3 linked regions of the Bombyx mori genome follow. The protein of the gene in region 3 interacts with the protein of the main gene of each other region in a biochemical or structural test. Links are inferred from orthologs where the notes say so. Each region holds a gene or a part of one and is shown on either strand. Other genes may lie near its edges.

What was found.
Region 1: the proteins of general transcription factor IIF subunit 1 (region 3) and Cdk9 form a complex in vitro, tested with the Homo sapiens proteins (2 studies listed by BioGRID, with this or other methods). The link is inferred for Bombyx mori from reciprocal best matches to the Homo sapiens genes GTF2F1 and CDK9.
Region 2: the proteins of general transcription factor IIF subunit 1 (region 3) and transcription initiation factor IIB form a complex in vitro, tested with the Homo sapiens proteins (3 studies listed by BioGRID and IntAct). The link is inferred for Bombyx mori from reciprocal best matches to the Homo sapiens genes GTF2F1 and GTF2B.

Annotation. Positions count from the first base shown.
Region 1 is NC_085130.1:9,750,402-9,756,028, forward strand, and holds the start of Cdk9 (cyclin dependent kinase 9), read left to right. Parts: upstream 1-1,975; coding exon 1,976-2,660; intron 2,661-3,204; coding exon 3,205-3,290; intron 3,291-3,839; coding exon 3,840-3,977; intron 3,978-4,592; coding exon 4,593-4,672; intron 4,673-5,627. UniProt on the Homo sapiens protein: Protein kinase involved in the regulation of transcription.
Region 2 is NC_085110.1:3,772,357-3,778,292, forward strand, and holds the start of transcription initiation factor IIB, read right to left. Parts: upstream 3,732-5,936; 5' UTR 3,656-3,731; coding exon 3,573-3,655; intron 3,374-3,572; coding exon 3,263-3,373; intron 2,913-3,262; coding exon 2,612-2,912; intron 1,890-2,611; coding exon 1,533-1,889; intron 1,234-1,532; coding exon 1,072-1,233; 3' UTR 1-1,071. UniProt on the Homo sapiens protein: General transcription factor that plays a role in transcription initiation by RNA polymerase II (Pol II). Involved in the pre-initiation complex (PIC) formation and Pol II recruitment at promoter DNA.
Region 3 is NC_085121.1:15,702,769-15,706,605, forward strand, and holds the end of general transcription factor IIF subunit 1, read right to left. Parts: intron 2,159-3,837; coding exon 1,957-2,158; 3' UTR 1,230-1,956; downstream 1-1,229. Other genes in the region: solute carrier family 22 member 3, read left to right, coding at 222-282. UniProt on the Homo sapiens protein: TFIIF is a general transcription initiation factor that binds to RNA polymerase II and helps to recruit it to the initiation complex in collaboration with TFIIB. It promotes transcription elongation.

The sequences.
Region 1 (5,627 bases), on a different chromosome or scaffold from region 3:
AATAGTTAATAACTAGTTAGTAGATGTTATAAGTGTCCTATTAAGGAAAATTGTTAAATTAGTTTACATGTTTTGTTTCTGAAATTCTATTCTATGAATTATTATTATGAAACTGAAATGTGGTTATGGCTGCCAAAGCTAGTTAGTTCCTCTGGGCAGCAGTAGTACTACCAGGTTTTATGCCAGACAGGCCATCTTTGATAGCTATGGTAAAAAAGGTAAGATTGTTTATCTTTACAGACCCTCTAAGACAACTCGTAAACTTGAAGGTACTAATTAGATGCTATTCTTGAGGCAGTAACAAATCGAAAGAGTGTCGTGAATTAATATATATTTATAACTTTATATACTTATAAAGGCGGACTTAAAGCCATAGGCATTCTCTGACAACCTACCTTAGGAGGGTGCAGAGATGAACCTTGTTAGGTGTAGTGTGATAGTGATATAACTTAAACATAGTAATATATGTATATATAACATACATAATATTTATAGATACAAATACTCGTACTTCAATAAATACATATACATAATAAATATTATCAAAGTCTAATCTAATATTTTCTCTAATACTAATCTAATAACTAATCTCTAATTAATAATATAATACGCCAAAGTTATTCAAATATATTTACAGTAAATTTAAATGGGCGTATAACTAGTGTTCGTATTAGTCCATATAGTTTTATCAGCGGCACACGCAGTGATAGAAAGAATTTATAAAACTTTTTTAAGAAATCACTTTTTGTCGGCCTACTTTAGTAATTCTGTCACGAAGCGCCTAGGTATTAAACTCAATTAAACTCAATTAATGTTTAGTTTATTCAAATTTTAGTATAATATTGCGTTATTTACCTCGAAGCGTCTTTTACTATTGTTGTGAATGTGTAACTTTTTGTAACAAAAACAAAAATCAATTCCGATGACACATTGACGTTTCTCTTTATTCGTTTTCATGTCAACGTTTAAGGGTCATTGACATCAAAACCTATAAACTCACAGTTTACCAATTTTAGATGTCTTACAAGCAATACTTTCGTTTTAGTCGATTTTTTGTATTTTCATTTATTTTAGAAACACTGTAAATTAATTAATTTGTTTTAACAGAAATTGTGGTAACCTGAATAACATTCAAAGAAAAGCAGTACATACCATCTTAATAAAGTTATTTAAAACCATGGATGTTTACTTTATTGTTAAATTAACTTTTTCGTTACAACTTCAGCCAAGTTAAATTGAGTAGATCAATAGGTAGTGTTTTAGTCCAAAATATATGTAATAACCGCTGCCTATTTTACCGTTTAACGCTATGCGAAACCTCATAAATATTTGAAATAGTCACTGGGTATGACTTTTCAAGTTCTTACAAAATTTTCTTTTTCCACTAAATTACGAAGTTTTAATGTGTGTTTCATTTCTAGCCATCCGACAATTGACCAAATCTTCAATGCTGTGGGTCGTGACCTCTATGGGATTTCAGAATCTCTCCGGTGGATTATCTTACGCCATACGTCGATATATTCTCGACGCTATAGATGACCTCAAATACGATAGTGTATTTGCGGTACGGATTTGGTCTGACCAGCGCAGGGGGACCTGCCCATCAACAACATCTAATTTCATTTAATTCCAATCCTCAATTAACTCTACTTCACTTTTTAAGCAACAGATATGGCGGGCATTGGCCTTTGGTACAAAACATTTTGATTTGGGCTCTTTTCTTTGCGTATTCAATAAATAAAAAATAAAAATTGATATTGACAGTTGACGTTTTAATTAGTGTCACAGTCTTCAGTCAGTGTTGCATTTCACTTCTTCCTATTGTGATTTTGCTGATAGGGTATCAATAAATTTCGCCGTTTCCAAGTGAAAACATAATTAATGTGAAATTTTTTAAAAGCTTTGTCTACACTACAATTAAAAATATCATATTCATACTAAAAGTTCGTTGAAAACCGCCAAAATTACGTCCAAAATGCAAAGCGTAAGTGCTCCGCGGGAGCCCACGCAACCAGTTTTAAGCACAACTTCAACTATATTAAACATGAGGGAAAAGGAGAAATACATAGAGGAATTCGACTTTCCCTTCTGCGACGAGTCTTCCAAATACGAAAAAGTAGCTAAAATCGGACAAGGAACATTCGGTGAAGTGTTCAAAGCGCGCGCGAGAAACAGTAGCAAAAAGTTTGTTGCCATGAAAAAAGTCTTAATGGACAATGAAAAAGAGGGTTTCCCGATCACGGCCCTGCGGGAAATAAAGATCTTGCAGCTCTTAAAACACGAAAACGTTGTAAACTTGATAGAAATATGCCGCACGAAGGCTACGGTTCACAATAAATACCGTTCCACTTTCTATTTGGTGTTCGACTTCTGCGAACACGATCTAGCTGGCCTGCTATCGAACGTGAATGTTAAGTTCAGTCTCGGCGAAATAAAAAAAGTCATGCAACAATTACTGAACGGACTTTATTACATACACAGCAACAAAATACTCCACAGAGACATGAAGGCTGCCAATGTACTAATAACAAAGAATGGAACATTAAAACTGGCTGACTTTGGACTTGCTCGAGCATTCAGCGTCGCAAAGTCTGGACAAGCCAATAAATATACTAATCGTGTTGTTACTTTGTGGTATAGGCCTCCAGAATTGCTGTTAGGTGAGTTTTTAAAACATATTATTTATTAATGAACAGTGTTTTTTTATGTAAACCATAATTTCTGGTAATAAGACAAATTGAGCTTGGATGAGTGGGCACCATTATTCTACTAACTCCTGTTGCTAAGTAGTAAGGCCTTGAAGTAAGCTCCCCTCCATGATGTTTCCCGAGAGCCTGTCTGTCGTCATGTCTTTCTTCAAACGAGGCTTGTGGAGAGTACTTCACGGTAGGCAACGGCTTGGCTTTGCTCCTAGTATTGCTGACGTTCATAAGCTACAACCACTCACCATCAGATGAGCCTTCTGCTCATCTGCCTACAAGAACATTTTTTTTTTTATCTAAAGCATCGAAGCAGTCATACATTTTAGTTTAAAGGAGACAAGTGTTATGTTATCTTTCATAGTGGGAGTGATTTTGAATAACTTATAACTAACATTTAATAACATGTAATAGTGAGTTGTCTTTGTCTGCTCATTTAGAAAAATATATGAAAAATGAGCTGTGGTGTGTTGTATCAGCTTTAACATGCCTTATTTAATTAAAGGTGACCGTAACTACGGTCCACCAGTGGACATGTGGGGAGCCGGATGTATCATGGCTGAAATGTGGACTCGCTCCCCGATCATGCAGGTTTGAAACTTTTCAAAGATACCGACCTGATTAAAACTACTTTTACAGTTTAATCTAGTTTTTTTTGCAAATCTAGTCAAAGGAAATAGATGCAGGGCCCTTGCTTAAAAATGCAGTAATAAGTTTTTGTGTTATCTAGTCAAAAATCACTGCTCTTGTAATGGGAAAGCATAAAATACCAAACCCTCTATTGAGTTTATTCAATAATAAACTTGCAATTTTATAATGATCACAAATTATATGCCATAAACCCCAAATTTAATGGAGTATTATTGGATAGACTTATTGGTTCAATGATGTTCATAGATAAAGGTTTACAATGAGTCACAAAATCTACGAATTATTTCTTTTCAAATTGATAAATTTTATTGTAATTGTATATTCTGTAGATATTTATGTTATTATTTTTAGAATATGTATAGAATAGTTTTAGAAATGACAGACTAAGAGGCTGAGGCTCCAGAAAGACAGACGATACACCACAGATCAGCAGTTAAAAAAAAAATTCTTGTCTACCATGGATCTTTGATTAGAAATGTAATATTTCAGGGTCCGACAGAACAGCAGCAGCTGATATTAATATCGCAGCTGTGCGGTTCCTGTACACCTGATGTCTGGCCCGGAGTGGAGAACTTGGATCTTTACAACAAAATGGAGTTGCCAAAGGGTCAAAAGAGGAAAGTCAAGGTGAATATGGAATTTAATCATTGAGATTTTTATATCTATTGGCTTAGTAAGACTGTTTGGTCAGAATCAGGGTACCTATGTACTCAATTGCAGTGTGGAAATAAGACATAATCATTTTTGAAAAAAAAAAAAGTTTTTTTTTTATCTTTGGCCGATAACACACATTCCAAGATGATATTTAAGGTCAAGGCTCAACACACTGCCTCATAAGTCAACATTTCATAGTTCATTACATATTTTCTTACAAAAACAATAAGTATTTTTGCCTACTGTCAACTAGTTATTTTATTTCTGTATCACCGTAGCCACCAAAAGCATTGTCAGCCATTATATAATTGTTATATCGGAATATAGGAGCAAAGAAACGAACATACATAATAACAGCCGGTTTATTATTGCACTGCACACTGCATAACACACACTGCAATAATACTATTGAGACTCAGATCTCATATCTCATGATGGGCGTCGAGAACATTTTGATGTTTGGTCCAGTGGGCATTTAACAATATGTGTACTTATTTTCCCATCTATGCCGCTCTCTCTTCACTGCATACTGTATATATTCATTCCAGCATCTCTTATATACTAATTAAGATTTGTATATAAACACAGGAAAGACTGAAACCATATGTGAAGGATCCCTACGGCTGTGACTTATTGGACAAACTGCTGCAGTTAGATCCTGCCAAGCGGTATGTATAATAGTTTACTTCCAGCTTACAATTTCTACAAGGAATTTATTCTATTAATGTTAATTGTTGATAGACAAGAAACTGGTTTTACCGGTGAAAGGACCTCTTGTGAGTCCGCACGGGTAGGTACCACCATCCTGCCTATTTCTGTCGTGAAGCAGTAATGCGTTTTGGTTTGAAGGGTGGGACAGCCGTTGTAACTATACTGAGACCTTAGAACTTATATCTTAAGGTGGGTGGTGCATTTACGTTGTAGATGTCTATTGGCTCCAGTAAGCACTTAAGACCAGGTGGGCTGTGAGTTCGTTCAGCCGTCTAAGTAATAAAAAAACAAAACAAAAATGGGATGGTATATTCGCTTGTATCAAATGATTCCGCATATTAACTCAATCTATTCTATATCTATATATATAAATGAATTGCTGTTCGTTAGTCTCGCTAAAACTCGAGAACGGCTTGACCGATTTGGCTAATTTTGGTCTTGAATTATTCGTGGAAGTCCAGAGAAGGTTTAAAAGGTAAATAAATATGAAAATGCTCGGAATTAAATAAAAATAACAAATTTGTTTTTTTCTTTGATGCGTCCCCCGTCGGACGGATTCATTTTGTTTAAGTTTATTTTATACAAAAGTTTAGGTCTTTTAATTATAGATTGAGGCACTACAAAGTCTGCCGGGTCAGCTAGTTTTTAATATTAATCATCTTTGCAAAAATTTTTTTTTCCGTTCACGTTATCTGTCTTTACATTAAGATAAAATTATGTATTAATTTTGTTAATAGTAATCAAAATATAGGTAAACTAAAAAAAAAAAACGACTACCCTCTTTTGAGAAAAATGCTGGTGATACTAAATGTTTACGTATATTAACTCAATTTCGAATATTTTAGGAAATTGTGCACTTTTAATGCGAAGACGGTATATACCTTGTCAGGTCATAAGTATTGTCACACAGTA
Region 2 (5,936 bases), on a different chromosome or scaffold from region 3:
CCTATTCTTTACTTATCACATGCTCATTTTTGCATTCACAATTACTAATAAACGATTTCCAAAATTCGAAATAACGCAACGGTATTATTTGTAAACCAAAAAATTTATAGACATTCGCCTCATAGATTATACTGAACATTTGAAGTTGGTAAGTTATGATGATAATTTTTTTCCAAGTTTTCATGACACCTTATGCTCTTGGAATTTACAAGCTTGAAAACACGATTGAGGGGTGAAAAGCTATGTGGTTTAAGCGACATATTTGCAATTTTACAGGAGAGCCACTTAACGTTTAAAATTTGGAAAAAATATCATAACAAAAAAACGTCTTCGGCTATTTGAATGGAGTAAACTAAATTAAAGTTCTAAAACATCGAATTGTTGATGATGCCAATACCAAATAAAACGGATCTTTAATTACATAGGTAAATGTCGGGTATTAAGCGAAATGTCCCTTAAAACAAATAGCCGTTCAGCCCTCTATATGAGTTTGAGTCCTTAGAATAAACAAAAACTACTTATATTTTATTGAAGAAATAATAGTTTTCTAATATGAAGGGGGCTGCAAAAGTGCATGGTGAGTTGAGTTATATATCACTTTTTAAAATTAATCAATAGTTATGTAAAAACGCAGTAGTCAGGACATTGCTAACTAAATATTGTAATGTACAAAAGCACCAATGTTATTTAATTAATTCTTATTAGCTCGAATTCTAGAAAATATCTTTGCAGTTCTGCAGCCAATGTTGGAATAGTATTTGTATCACTCATTATCGGTATATATACTCCTGTAATCAATACACTGAATTACCTCATTAAGAAGGTAGACAAGGATGAGTATGACATATTATTATTCATATTATGACAGTATCATTAGTGATCTAACTGATCAGTATAAAATATGTGAATAACATACTTATTTAAGGGGGCATATCTTTATGAGAATTCTTCTCAAGAAGAGTCATCCAGTTAGGACATATTAACAAACTATAACATTAAGAAAACTTACAAGATTTTTCAGACTGCTCACATACATTTTAAAGCAATTCTAATAGTACAAAAACATGTAGTCTACATCTGTGGTAGGAATTCAATAGGAGTTGCGAATTTGAAATCTTCAGGGAACAGTCTTGCTGCGGATGGATACATCAATTTGTAAGACTGTCGGATCGTAACGTCCGCAACACCAGCAATATCGCCGATCTCTTTCTGACTGCGTTTGTCTTCTGATGCCTGAAATAGTAATAAAATGTATATAATATCTATATAAACATGTGGTCACGAGTGACTTCCACAATAAAGGGGATGTACAATGCTTGATAAAAATCAAATACACAAAATTGTGTCAATTTGCATATTTACAGTAGGAATCCTGCCCATTTATGACATGAAGCAATCATGTTTTCAATATTGAGGATATTAAAATGTCAATTACAAATTGAATTAAATATTTCATTATTGTCATTAATTCCTTAAGCCTACAATGATGAAGAATAGGTTATAGTAGAATAGTAATAAATTTATTAATATACCTGTGAAGCCATATAAATGGCAGCTGCAGCAACTGAAATAGGACTTCTTCCAGACACTATGTCCAGCTCTCCAGCTTTCCTTGCGATATGTGTAGCTGCGCGTTGCACTGAATTTGGCAGACCCAAATTCGAGCAAAACCGAGACATAAAATCTGCTGTTGTAATGAGATCAACTGAAGTCTCCAGTGCTTTCAGAATCAATTTGAAACACCTTCCTATTTCTTTTTTACTTATCTTGCTGACGGCACAGATCTCTTTAAATGTACGTGGCACACCTTCTTGACGACAAGCAATGTAGAGGCAAGCTGAAGCTATAGCATCATTGGCACGACCCTTCAAGTTTTTACCGTCGTGAACCTGCAATATGATGGAATGCAATGCAATGAAAAATCTAATTTTTAAAATTCAACCTAGTAGGAATTTTACCTAAGAAAATTAAATTCTACTTTTATTAGAGGTTTTTTTTTTGTTATCCTTTCAAATTTTAGTGTGACTATTGAATTGTCTTGAACATTTCTGCTTCCAAATAGGTATTGTATTGAAAAATAAAAAAAAACCTTTAGAATTTGAGGTGCTATTCATTTGAATTCACCAGCTTAAAAGAGAGAACACATACAAAAGTGCTTAATCTCAAATGAGATGTGAAACATTTTCATATTTATGTATTATAATACTCTATGTATGTATGTATTAAAATATAGATATTGTTATGTAATCCTAGGTTTGTCTAATAAACATACTTAGTTTATACATAGTAAATATAGTATAACAATCAATGCACATACTTTCTTTTCTGCATCAACCAACAGAGAACGACTTAAATGTTAACTTAGCCAATATACATTAATATGCAAGAATCAGTACATAACATAAATAAATAATAAAAATAATAAAATAAACGATCAATTCATAAAAAATAACAAGTTTTTCTGTTGGCAATCTCAATATGATGCCATATCGACAGAATGCTGAATCTCTTGGTTGATTTAGGATAGCTATGGGAAAGATGGGATAATACTATTTTATGGCACAAAAGAGTAACATATTTAGATGTTTGGATACTAGAGTACTAAATTTACCTGTTTAAAAAGATTGTTTGCTCTGTCCACAATAGTTTTTGGAAGATTAATTCTATCCGCCATTGTGTTGATTTCTCGGAATGCATTGATTAAGGCTCTATCTGTGCTGCTTATGTTTCTTCTATTTTGATATTTGGAAACTCCAAAGCTGTCAAATGATGCATCTCCTCGTCCTGGCCCAATGATAGTTGACAAATCACCTCCAGATAAAAGTGGGTTTTCAGGACCACCAACACGAGACGGATCTACTCCAGACTTCTCATTGCTAAAAGTACGCCACTCCGAACCGACGTCTATGACTCTGCAAGGTAAGAATTTTTTTACTAAGAATGTAGCAATTTAGAATGTTTCTTTTGTCATTTTTATGTATCAACTCCAAAATTTTTCAAAGCACGAAAAATGCGTTTTGTGTATTAAATATTCTGTTCACTGTTACTTCAGAAAGTTCACTTAGCCTCCGTGAACTTCATAATATTCTTAAAGAATTCCCGTAACATTAATGTGAATGATATTCACAGTACAAATTGATTATATACCGACCTCGAAATATAGAAATCAAATGCGTCGCTATTGAAGTTGTTGTTACGACATGACAGTAGAATAGCGCGCGCGTTCCAACGTTTTGTTTCGCAAATAAAGGTACTAACTTACCTGTCTCCGACCACCAAACCGCATTCAGAACATATCATATCACCCGCTCTGTAATCCTCGATAAGGGGCGCATCAGGGTGAGCATAGCAAACCACTTTATTCGCCTCAATTCTAAAAACACAAACAAAAGTAGGTTCACAATCTAACAAGTAGAAATCGTATGCTATTTTAACGCGATTTTAAACACCACTTAAGTACTATCACCAACTTACTCATCACGAATATCTATCGTATTGCTTATCGGCTTTGTATAAATGAACTAAGTCTCGGTTTAAAGCTAATATAAATAAAATAACACAGAAAAACAGACCTCGATGTACTCGCCATGGTGGTCAGAAAACATAGACAATACTCCAAATATTTTTTTAATGTCGTTGTCAATTTGAATACCATAAACACAGTTTTGTTTTATTCTTTGATCTTGACAGGCATGTGACATAGTAAAGGGTATTAAATCATGCACAAAAATGAGTAAACATTATTAAAGTGAAGCAGCGCTTGTGTCTAGTTTTTCCCCAAGTATCGTACTTTATTAGTGAATTACTTTGATAATAATGTGGTTGTTCTAAATTTAATGTAGGAAATTATTAGTTTAACTGCTAGTAGTGCTGCCATGCCAACTTGGTTTCTCAAATGCAAGGGATATTCAACAGTATGAAATAGTAGATTACGCATGATCAAAGACAGGTCCATGATATTATATAGTTCTGTAATTAATATGATCAGTCTCGCGTGGAGCAAGGCTCCATGGGCCGGAGTTCTCAAGTATCAAATTATTTCATGTGGGACCCCATATGAAATAATTTCTTCTAAGAAAGCTGTTTGGACTATCGTTTCCCCTAATATCACAAATATTTTAAAATACTTTCGGGCTTACACAGAAACTTCATTTCTGTCTAGGTGTTATAAATCGCGATAGCGATAGCGCGGAGCGCTCTTAGATATAATTTTTTTAATTACATCTTATTAAATTTCTATCTTCTTTAGAAATAATTATGCAAATACGAAGTAATTTAAATTCCCTATCTCGGTTTTTTAACTACCTGACTTCTTATCTTTTTTTCAGTATGGCAATCAATCATTATCCTCTTGCGATCCCAATGATGGGATCCCCCTTATGAACCCAGCGTCGAGCTTATGTCAATGTATAATAATCATAAATGATTAATAAATACATACATACATGCACAAAGTAATTTTTATATTAAAATTTAAATTTTGGTACCTAAATAAAAAATGAAATGGGGCGGAATGAAATGAATTTGAATTCTCTGGAATTGTATCATCAGCCTGGATAAAACTGAATAAAATTAAATGAAATGAATCGATATAAAATGAAAAATAAAAAGGTTCCAGTAAAAGGAATTTACTGAGACTTATGTGAACTTTTTGAAAAAACTCGAGGAACTATGTTTGGCTATTTTAATTCATTTCTCAACATTTATGCACTTTTCCAAATGTATACATAATTTTATAACAATACACTCATTAAACAATACCGGAAATACCGGTGCTCACACAACAATCAGAAAAGCCTCCGGTTTTCACGGCATGGCCGATAGATGTCGCTATATTACTCTCCACCGGAATCAGAGTTTTCATTACCTATAAACTTTGCATTTTTTATGGCTTTTGCAGACGGACGAGCATAAGGCCACCTGGTGGTCAGTTATTGACGTCGCTCATGGACATCAGCAATGTCAGAACCACAACCAAGTCGATGCTTACCGGTAAGTACTCTCCATAAGGCTAGTTTGAAGAATGAAGTCATGGGGCTCGTGAAGCACGGTGAAGGAGAGTTCATTTCGCAGTCAGAAGATACGTGCCAAAAAAGATCTCTGGACATGCACCGCCGATGAGCGTACTTGTGCCCGATCCAATAATATTGTAATACTATCTTATTTACCAGATACCAAATTACACTAATAATTGGCAGCACAAACGAGTAGGATGGTCCCGTGCATGCTTTCATTATAAATACTTTACCCCTAATTAGGGATGGGTAGGAATAAATTGCAAAAGTGAAGGCAACATTTTTTATCCATAAATATTATTTTGCTTGTCCTGACTGACTGATTCATGTGCACTTAAGCCGCTGTGGTTGCAAACTTAAAAAATTGACACAATTTTGTATTCTAAGCTTTGTACTAAGTTTTTTTTTTTTAGAAATTTCACTCGTCAAGTTGTAAAATGTAAAGGGTAAAGGTTAAAGTTGTACCAAATAGCTGTAGAACTCGGCAAAGAGCTCGACGTGCAACTTAACCTAGTATACACCTGACCTTGCTCAGTTTTTTCTTACCGGGTGAGCTTCCGATCCGGTGGTAGATGCATTGCGAAGCAGCTACTCTTGATCTGTTAGGTCTCTTCTAGAGCCACTTGGGCAGCCGTTAGCAAATCCCATTCCTCCTGGCTGAGTCCACCTGTCCTAGTGAAATTGGAAAAGTCGTTACCCCTTAAATACCCCTAACTACCCCTAAAAAAGCGATGACCTCGCGAGGTGAAAAGCTACCTTACTACAAAAATTGACTTTTCAACACAAAATGAAATTTCCAAATTACCAAAAAAAAACACTACACAATAATATACATTTTTGCAGGCGGCAATTTAAAAACGTGATCGTTATAAAAGACAATTGGAATATTTAATAATATTTAATGTAGTTGCTACAGTAGGC
Region 3 (3,837 bases):
CTACCAATTTAATTAATCAATCGAGTATTATCGGCTATCGCATATCGCTATCAGAGGTACAGAAAAACTAAAACATATCAAACATTAGCGAAAGATTTAATCATAGAAATAAGTATTTAGTAATGCAGACTTTTACATATTAACGAAAGGTATCGCACTCATAAAGTCTAGTTAGACGATGCCTTTAGAAAATGTGTTGATTTCATATCTTTTCTGCACAGGAAACCAGCAAATGATGAAGAATTAGAAGACTTATCACATTTAAGAAGATCTGTTGAATAAAGATGTAAACAAAAATAGTTTTATTTCCCCTAAAAGTGTGATACAACTGAACATGTATCACAGCTTCATTATAAAAATCCTTCCTTCCGAGCCTTCAAAAATCTTCAGCCGTAACTTTGTTATTAACACAAGTTCTTTACGAACTTAGCACGGGACCAGTTAACGTGGCGTGATTGTTATTAAATATTTATTGATTTATTTATTATTGTATCTTATCTTGTTAACTTAATAAATAAATATTACATTGCGTGCAGTCCAAATCACCTAAGGAAACGCAAATCATCAAATATTTTTCATTGTGGTTTCGCTGTTTGTTTTTAGAAACGATTCTAACACACCCTGTATAAACAAGCATATATTCAACATACAGTAAGATTTCTTCTTGTGTTATAACACTTATAACAGAGTGAGATTTGTTATTGTGGCAGTGTGTGTGTTTCATTTACTTTATGATGACTGAGCCGAGAGCTCATTTGCCTATTTAGAAAAACATATATTAAAAAAAAAAGATGTGTGCAATTCACACGTGGCAGAAGTGAAACCTTCCAAAATTAAAATAGAATTATCTTAAACGTCTTCAGTATATGTAAAATTTTGTCATTAGTAAATAATTGTAAGGTAGCGCCCTCTGTGAATTGATATTTTAATTTCACGTATAATCCTAAATTTAAATTCACTACAAGAGCTTTCATACACACGTTAGTATTAAAAAATCTCACAGATGGCGCTGTATTAAATAGTATGTATATTTCTGTCTCATTCTTTGCTGGCTTCATCCTACACATTTTTGTATTTGTGTCTCTTACCTGTCGTTTTTTCCGTTGCATCCGGTTTGAAATCACAACGATTCTAAAGAAGTTTTCACTTCAAAAATTACACGATCGCCTCAAACAAAAACCTCCTGTACGTAACAACAGTATTTACGATGTTTTCAATAAAACAATCAATACGTTAATTACATCTTTTATTTATTTAAAAAATGCCTACGTAAAATCAAGAACGTGTATTCACAAAACAAATCGAGGGGTGAAAGGCTTATTTGGTTTAAAAGACATTTTTGGAAATTTACAGGAGAACCATTTAAAGTTTTAAATTTGAAAAAAAAATATCATAACAAAAAAACTTCTTCGGCTATTTCAATGGATTAAACTTAATTGAAGTTTAATTAAAAACATTGAACTGTTGATGCTAATACCAAATAAAACGGACCTTTAATTACAAAGGTAAATGTCGTGTATTAAACGAAATGTCGCTTAACACGTCTACTACCGCGTAGGTCACCGGCGCTCTACGCGACGCACGAAAGTAATTATGTCGATTTCTGTCTTCGATCTTCTTACTAAAGCGCCGGAATACCTAGTAGACTTTAGGGAAGACGAATCCGAAGATACTAAGAAACAGATTAAAAAACAAGGCAAAGTTAGGTAATCCAGCCGCTTAGTAACAGAAACCCTTGTTTTTTTTCTTATATGGGTGGACGAGCTCACAGCCCACATTACTGCTTCACGGCAGAAATAGGCCGGGTGGTGGTACCTACCCGTGTAAATTCGCAAGAGGTGCTACCACGTAATTACTTCAGTGCGCCGCGTAGGGCACCGGTGACCTACACGGCAGTCTAAGGATTCAACTAAATAGCCTTTCGCCTCTCGATATATATATGTATATATTGCGGGATCATTTAATGCTGAGGTACATTTTCCCGTTGATGTTCTGCTTCAAAGGGTTGATCCTCTTCAGTATCTGCGTCATGGTTTCGACCAAGCGCTCGCTGCTGACTCCGGTGCGTTTCGATTTGAACTTGGTGAGCAGCTCAGTCGTGGTCATCGGCTTCCTCGCCAAGTACCTTCTCACCGCCTCTTCCGTCACCCCGCATTCGCTGCACAAACAAAACAAAAAAAATATAGTTTAAAAAAACTAACAAAACACGCTTTTATAGAAAATTCAAATAAAAAGTAGAAAATAAATTTTAATATATTTGAATTAAAAATAGTTTAAATTTTTTTTTAATTGTAAACTTATTTATTTTTCATTTTTTCTATTATTATTTTTTTCATTATTTTTTAAATATTAAATTGTCGAGGTCTCTCATAAGTATACCAAATTTCGAGTTAATCCGACGTTTTGAAGGGGGTCAAAATCATGTTCAAAGATTCCGTTACAAACATACATACGTCTGAAGCTAATAAAAGCGTATTAATACGTACAATTTGCCCGATGATATATATATAGATGACTATATATATAGTGATATAGTGACAACCCTAGTGTTTAAGTTCCATATATTAGGGCGACGCTACGTGTTTAGGAGAATAGGGTAGGGGCGACTAAGAATTTCATTTTATGAGGAACATGAGAATTCTAACGTCACTATACGCTTATTAATATCTCTGTTTACCGCGAAATTAAAAGATTCATAACTAATTTTTAGTTGGTTGTCACTAAGCTACATTGGCATCGGCTCATCCATGGTCACCATAGGTCATAATAAATCGTAAGCGACTCCAGTGCACAGCCAATCCATTTTTGACCGCTGAGGCCTATTCTCTAATACAGTTTCCCAACGTGTGTTACCTGATGCACGTAAATAGCCTCTGTGGAGTATTACGTCACTGCTCCGCCCACATGTTTGCCGATGACCTTTGTACTCTGAGCGCTAGTACCGACCTCGCGGAAATGTGTCGCCGGGTTCAAGAGGATGTGGATGCGGTAGTTAAATGGTCACATGATAACGGCATTATATTAAACGCTGACAAAACAAAGATGATAATTATTCACTCCCCGTATTTACGTTCTATTGATAATCCGCCTCCTCTGATTGCCCACAGCTTTGATTGCTTCCACAATAAGAAAATTAACTGCACGTGTAATCCTATCGAAAAAGTTAATTGTGTAAAATACCTAGGAGTAAAAATAGATACCTCTTTTTCCTGGGATTCCCACATAGAATACTTATGTGGAAAATTAAGAATATTACTAGAAAAGTTTTATTATTTAAGTATTAAAGTTCCATTGCCAATACTAAAATGTTTATATTTTGCACTAGTGGATTCCATAATAAGTTACGCTCTTGATTGCTATGGATTAACATTTAAAACATACATAGATAAAATAGAATCATGCAAACAAGATTTTTAAAATTACTCGTAAATAAAAAGACAAAGAATCAATGTAAAGGAGATTACTCTAAACTATATAAAATATGTAAAATTTTACCGGCTAGCCTGAAACATAAATATCTTCTACTTGTAAACAATCATAGTAAACAGGATCGTTTAACTAACTTGGTGCAACATAAAACTGGCACAAGGTCAATGTCCAAAGGAAAATTTGAAATACCCAAGGTACAAAATTACTATGGAGATAGAACGTTAAAAAAACGTGTTCCATACTTACTCAATAGTTTACCCGAGGACATAAGACGTGAGCCTATACTTGCTAAATTTAAAAGCTTATTAAAAAAACATTTGTTAAATACGTTATAACCATTTACGTAAATTAATTGTGTTATTATAGTATAAGCTAGTTGAATGGTTTATACGCTATGTTTGTATAAAG